Linked DNA regions of Coturnix japonica. Each later gene encodes a partner of the first gene's protein in a complex. Links are inferred from orthologs where the notes say so. Each region holds a gene or a part of one and is shown in the gene's direction. Other genes may lie near its edges.

Region 1 (3,653 bases):
TGCTTAGAAGTCACTTCTTGTCCAGGCACAGAACAGTGCTCTTGCCTCTTGAAGTTGTACTTAGGGACGGTGGAATACCAGGAATATGAAATAGTACTGTTAAAATTGCTTTAGTGTAGTTCAAAGGGGAAACCAAGAGATACTTTTGAATTTACAGGTGAGTTCTGGTTTGTAAACATGCACCGTTTTCTTTTAGATTCAAGGGCTCACTTGAACCGGTTCCTCTTGATTTTATTTTTAAGTTAAAGAGCCAGAGTTGGTGCTTGGGACCTAGTTGGGGCATGTGTATCCCCATATGTGTATATGTACCACAAATCTTCTTTTATTTTATATAAAAGTATATCATAGAATTATAGAATCACAAAATTGGAAAGGACATATAAGATCATCTAGTCCAACCGTCCTCCCTTTAGCATATCTACATAACACCACTAAACCATATCTCCTAGCTCCTTATATGTACGTATATATAAAAATAGATGTATATGCAAATGCTTTATAGCTGAATTAACACAAAAACTTTCACATGGATTTCTTCACTTCCTGTTCTTCCCCTTTTGAACTGTCACATAGTCACATGGTACCTGCATTGCTTTTTTGACAGACCATAGATCTGCATTCAGAATGTCATCCTGCTAGGCAAAGTGCTCTGAGAGCACCTGAAAGTATCTCCTTGATGTTTAGGTGTTTCTACCCATCCTCCCCAAGGGGACTTAGGAATGGTGGAATATCAGGAATACAAAACTATACTGTTTAAATGCTTTGTTATAGTTGATGCTGCCTGGGGAGGACTGATGGAACAGTGTTCTATTCTAGAGGAGCAGCTCTTGCTGGTCTCTCTGAGTGCTTGTAGGTGTAGAAGCTGTTTATAGCTGAAGAATTTTCTCAATTTTTTTTATTTTTCTCTGAAGGCTTCTGAGCATCGTGGATAAAGACTGCAGCAGAAATGGACACTGAAGGCTTTGAAGAGCTTCTCCAGCAGGCAGAACAGCTTGCAGCTGAGACTGAGGGCATCTCTGAGCTCCCTCATGTGGAACGCAGCCTGCCGGAGATCCAGCAGGTTGGGGAGCGCCTGCGTTCCTGCACCCTGACCCGCACGTCCCAGGAGACTGCAGATGTTAAGGCGTAAGTACTGAGCACCGGCGCTGGAGATGGAATGCAGAGGGTACAGGCTGTCTGTAGGTTTGGTTTCTAATGTGTGGGGAGCCTTGCCAGGAGAATGTACCCAGGAGAAACAGAATTTCTGCAAAGCTGTTTTCTTGCCCACTCCTTCTTGCTTACAAAAGGAAAAAAAAAGAATAGTAACAGAAGGTTTTAACTGAGAAGCTACCATTCCCGGCTACCAAAGCCAAAAAGTGCAGTACTTTGTTCTGGCTGCTGCTGAAGACAATTAGCAACATGCTATAGAATTTTTCTATCAGGCAGGATTTGGCAGATGTGCAGTACTGCAGTGGAACAGCAGGAAGTGTTTGATGAGGCTGAGGTTGTTAGATACACACATATAGTTCAGGGTTTGGTTTTGCACATCTTTCATAGTAACTGGAAATTTTGTACGTGACTAGCTGCTGATCTAAATATCAGCAGCACGCTGGGGTTACAGTTCTTACTAGTAGCCCTTTCTGTTCTGTGCTGATCTCATATACGTACAATTTCTTCCTTACAGGTCTGTTCTTCTTGGGTCCAGAGGGCTTGATATATCTCATACCTCTCAGCGGTTAGAGAGTCTAAGTGCAGCCACTACATTTGAGCCTCTTGAACCTGTGAAGGACACTGACATCCAGGTAGGTGCAATTCTGATGAGGAAATCAGACTCCCCTTGTAACTGCTATTCCTTTGCTGTGATTCAAAGCACTTCTGAGGCTCCTGTGGAATTAGTTTTGCTCTGAGGGTACTGTGGAAATAGTCTTGCCTTGAGTTCAGTCCACTGGATACAGGTAGTACAGAGGAGGAACGCTTCTTTCAGTGAAGAAAAAAGTTAGCTGTTAGAAGCACCACTGAGCAGCAACTCTGCAGAACCATTTTGAATTCCAGACTTTCATTGAAGTCAGTAGAAACAAGGCACTTACAGCCTTTGCAGAGGCTTAAGTAAGCTACAAGTGATTTGCTGAGGAGAGCATGGTGAGGTTCTCTGCTTCAGGTGATTGTATGGGCTCACGTAACACACATGAGTGTGAAACGTTTTGTCCCTGCTTATTTTGGCAGCTAACAGCTGTGAGATTTCCTTTCTGCTGCTTTCCATCATCCTTTCCTTTGCCTGGGGATGTTTGCAGTCACATCTCGAGCTGTCTGGCTGATGTTGACAATGGTTTGTTGTCTGGAAATACTTGCTTAGAATTTGGACAAGTCTCTGTACTTGTCTATAAGTTCTGATACACGGTTGTCGACAGCAGGATTTGTCCTTCCTGAGTGGTTTTTGGTAACTTCCTGTCAGTGACGTACAAGGGCCTTTGTGCTGTACGTTACCCTTCGTTTAGTTCTGTCAGCCAGGTAGGTCTTAAAGTTATTTGATGCTTTTGATAGTACAAAAGCTTCCTATGTCACTTTTTCTTGTGGTTATTCTGGGATAAGTTTTCATTCTCCTTAACTAATTGCTTTCCTCAGGCTCCTTTGGATTCACTGTGTTTATTTGGGGTCAGATACAACTGTCTCTGTGCTGCGTGGAACACTTTTTCTGTAGTTTCTTCCAATGGAGAGCAGTGTGCAGGGTGATACAAGGAGGGGGTCTGCTCCAGGGTTTGACTGTTCCTCTGCTGTTACTCAGTATTTACACAGACATACTGTCAGGTTTTAGTTCTGGGGGTTGAGAGGTTAGTGTCTGCAGCTGGCACTAACTCTACCACTTCTAGTTTTTTAATCAACAAAAATAAGCTTCGCTCACAGTTTATATCATAGATTGAACTGCTTTATCTTTGTTGTATTTTATGTTTTCTCGATGCTCAACGTTTATACTTGCAGGCTGGTATGGTTTGCAGCAAGTCTCTTCAGCTTTAAATCCTGTCAGAAGCTTGCTTATATCACCTCTAGACCCATCAGTGCTTAAGCTGCTGGTGGATGTGTATGTCCCTCAAGCTCAAATTTGTGCAATTATTGTTATCCCTTCATAGGTACTTCACAGCATCATTTCGTTCTGAGGCTGAAACTTCTTTTTTCAGGTAAAACCTGAAGCTGCAAATGCACTCTTCCTTCCTGTAAAGCTACAGTGTGACTGTGCTGGTATTTGTGTGTAGGCTTTGCTGGTAACTGCACTTGAGCAACGGTTACAAGTATTAAATATGTATTGTATGAATTTTACGTTGCTACTGACTGAAATTCTATCAAAGCTCCTGGAGCATGAAAATGCTCTTTGGACTTCCTGCCACGCTCTCCCACGTCATGGTAATTGCATCCATGGTAATAGCAGAGAAAGAAGAACTTGCTGATTTCCCTGACAGTCTGCTTGAGCTTCTCCATCGTTCTTGCTGAAAGTATTTACTTACTGACTCTGTTCCTTCTCATATTGCCGTCTATTCTAGCAGCCCGTATGTGGGCAGCATTGAGAGATTTGCTGGAATATCAGCACTGCAGAAGGAGAATTCCAGGAAATACCTTGCTGCTTCTTGAGAGAGTAAGATACAGCATGAAAGTCAGAGAGGAGCATACTAGGGCATGATGTT
Region 2 (3,653 bases), on another chromosome or scaffold:
CCCTGAAGATAACACAATGGAAGAACTGAAATGTATAAAGAAATACCTCCTCCTGCAACATCAGCCTGTAGGGTAGATATGAAATGGCTATGTTGAATAGAGATATTGGGGCTTTCTATTTGTAGTTTAAAATAAGCTCCTGTATTTCAGTGCATTCGAAGTAGCATGTGCTGAGAAGCTGCCATCTCCATTGAAATGTGGAAACTAAGTATCAATTCCTAATCTAAGGGAAAAATGATTTATGTAGTTATATAGTTTCAAGTGGGAAAGTGATAAATTAAGTCCCTGGAAAGATGACTTGTCCAGTGTTTACTGTGAGTAATTTAAAGAAGGATTTTCAATTTGATCTTTGAAAAGGGGACAGTACTCAGAATGCTTTTGAAAGTTAGAAAAAAAATCTACTCCTAAAAAGCATATGATGCACTTTTTAAAGTATTGGAAAACTGAAGGCTCTTTTTACACTGTAATATGATGTTCTACTTAGCAGTGCCTGTTTTGGGTGATTTCATGTTTGTTTTTTTTTATACAAAGCATTTTTGGTATTTTAATTTTTATTTATTGTTGTTGCAGTCCCACTGATGTGCACACTCTGTCCTATGCAGTGATGTTCTTATTAAAAGTAAGAACAAATCTCTCATAAAGCTCTATTTTAATATTAATATCTGATTGCACTTTCTTTGTATTCCAAAAGGTGGCAATGAGAGCCTTGGGTTTTGATGTGAAAAAAGCTGATGTACTGAAAATACTTAAAGATTACGATCGAGAAGCAACAGGCAAGATCACATTTGAAGACTTTAATGAAGTTGGTATGTATTTGATTTTATAACTTTAGAAATCTACCTTCAGAGAAACTTAGCTTACAATAGTGACTGCAGTTTGACCAGGAGTACTTTGTGTGTTTTTGTAGTTAGCTAGTGCTATTAAGAAAGAGAGATGGGAGATATAATGTTATATTTTTCTGTATAAACTTGCATAGTGGAGGAAAATAATTCTTTGTATATACGTGGAGATAAAGGATTACAGCAATATAAAAGGAAAAAAATTTATGCAAAGGAATAAGCACTGATTTGAAATATAGATATTCTTGTGTTTATATTTCTTTGTCTTTTTTAGTATTCTCCCTTCTGCTTTGGAAAGAGTAGTTGGCACTGAATTTCATAGGAAGGAGTATATAAACTGACAAACTGTAAACTGAATACAGATTTTTCTGTAATCTAACAAAGATGAGAGAAACTGAAGCAGATGTTAAATATTGTACATCAAGGATTTTCAGCTGCTGGTTAAAACAGTGAATTTCATTAACAGTTTCTTTCATCTAAAGGTTTTGTGTCTCACAGACCTTCTACATGAGGTATGGAGCCCTTAGTACAAAAAAGACAGAGAGAGCTGTTGGAAAGGGTCCAGAGGAGGGCCACGAAGGTGATCAGGGGGCTGGAGCACCTCCCCTGCGAAGACAGGCTGAGGGAGTTGGGTTTGTTCAGCCTGGAGAAAAGAAGGCTGTGGGGTGGCCTCATTGCAGCCTTTCAGTACCTGAAGGGTATCTGTAATCAGGAGCGGGAGTAAACTCTTTGAAAGGGACGATGATAGCAGGACAAGGGGAAATGGTTTTAATTTGAAAGAGGGAAGATTTAGTTTGGAAGTTCTTTACTAGGAGAGTGGTGAGGTCCTGGAACAGGGTGCCTGAGGAGGTTGTGGGTGCCCCATCTCTGGAGATGTTCAAGACCAGGTTGGATGGGGCCCTGGGCAACCTGATCTAGTAAACGTGGAAGTTTAGTGGCCCTGCCAGGCAGGAGGGTTGGAGCTTCATGATCCTTGAGGTCCCTTTCAACCCAGGTGATTCTGTGATACATGCTCTGCCCCATAGACAGGCACTCAGTCAGCCTTACAAGGTGATCTTAGATTTGCTCAGCTCTTCCAGTGGGAGCAAATTTTGTTCCTCTGACTCCGGCCTACAGATTCAGGAACATGAGAGGTGTGGGAAGCCTGACTGCCAGTGAAAATTGAGGCAAAAAAATTCACTGAGTACTTCAGCCTTCTCCATGTCTGCTGAAGCCAGTTCTACCTTTTCATTTGTCAGAGGGAGTATGCCCTTTTTGGCCACTCTCTTCTGACCAATGTACCTAAAGATTCTTTTTTTGTTATTTTTCACATCCCTTTCCAAGTTCAGTTCCATCTGTGCTTTGGCTTTCCTGATCTTATTTCCCCATGTCTGAACTGCATTCCTTCATTCTTCCCAGGCCATCCATCCCTACTTCACTGCCTGAGTTTGACCAGCAGGTACTTGGTCAGCCATATTGATTTCCTGCCTCCCCTACTTGGTTTCTTATGCTGCGGGACGGAGGCCCCATGTTCTCTCAGAAAGCTGTCCTTGAAGATCTTCCATCTCTTCTCCATTCTGATGTCCCTTAGGACGTTTCCTGGGGAATTCATCCAATAATTCCTAAAATGGCCCAAGGTTTCACCCTCCTGATGTTGTGTCCTGAGTCAGCTTTTTATTGTCCTATTTATCAATATAGACAATAAGTGCTGTGAGAAGCTAGGAAGATTCATGTAGAAAGAACAGCAAATAGTTGGTTGGCAGTTTTAATCAATCAAAAAACTTTGAATCTGAGGTCTGAGCATGGCTATGACAAGTATGCCCTTGACACAGAATTAAACTGTATATAGCTTGTAGCAGAAAGATTAGAGAAAATAGGTTATAAAAACAGTTATGATGAGCTGGCTGAATGTAGTTTAACAATTGTTTAGTTGTCAGTTTTGCATGATTATCTGTGGTTTAAATATCAGAGCTGACCATCTAAAATGTGCATAGTTGCATCTCCTCTTGTTTTGTACAATCATTTTATCTATGGCACTTAGAGGCAGTGGTTTTTTGTTAGCTGATGTTGCCTTTATTCCCTTTTATGCCTTACTGCCATAAATGTAGAGTTTCTTAAATTTACTACTGTCACACGTCATAGTTGTTTTCAATGAAAATATTTAAATATAAATATGAGTGATTTTTGTATATATTTCAATCTACATTATATATAAAATACATAAATACATATAAATATGAAAGTGAAAACAAAATCCTTATTGCTTTATGAGCTTACATGAGATTGGATCTGATATTTTGCTTTCAAGTTTGCTAAGCTGGAGGAGGCATTCCATCTGCAAACAGTAGCAGATGTAAGTTTGTCTTTGCACAAACAAGGATGATGTGTTTTTAATGGTTTGATAAAAGTCATAAATACCATGTCCTGTAACATGAAACTAGCAGGTACATAAATATGAAGATATTTGCATCTGATTCCGGAAGTGTCTGAATTAATCACCGAAAAAACATTTTTGTAGTTTGGCTGTCTTTTCTGTCACAGCAACTAGCAAATGGATGCAATAAAAGGAATAACCAACAGTAACAAATCCCTTCAGAATTAACATTTCACTGTGTATAGTTGCATTATTTTCATAAACCTCAAGCTTTGATTTTGTTGGTTTTTTGTTAGTGTGATTTTGTATCTAAAAGAGAAATTACATGAGAATGTTTTTAATTACTTCGTGCTGTTTCAGTGTTCTCAGAAAGTCAAAATTCTATCCAGATCATAATATTTAAAATCAACAAATTCAAGTGCCTGGTTCTGTGAGAGCTGATGGTTTTTTTTATTTTATTT

What was found.
Region 2: NUP93 (region 1) and CETN3 share a complex: the UniProt entries of both Homo sapiens proteins name them as parts of the nuclear pore complex. The link is inferred for Coturnix japonica from reciprocal best matches to the Homo sapiens genes NUP93 and CETN3.

The regions. Positions count from the first base shown.
Region 1 is NC_029526.1:563,187-566,839, forward strand, and holds part of NUP93 (nuclear pore complex protein Nup93), read left to right. Parts: intron 1-911; 5' UTR 912-946; coding exon 947-1,125; intron 1,126-1,663; coding exon 1,664-1,781; intron 1,782-3,653. UniProt on the Homo sapiens protein: Plays a role in the nuclear pore complex (NPC) assembly and/or maintenance. May anchor nucleoporins, but not NUP153 and TPR, to the NPC. During renal development, regulates podocyte migration and proliferation through SMAD4 signaling.
Region 2 is NC_029547.1:53,322,349-53,326,001, forward strand, and holds part of CETN3 (centrin-3), read left to right. Parts: intron 1-691; coding exon 692-806; intron 807-3,653. UniProt on the Homo sapiens protein: Plays a fundamental role in microtubule-organizing center structure and function. As a component of the TREX-2 complex, involved in the export of mRNAs to the cytoplasm through the nuclear pores.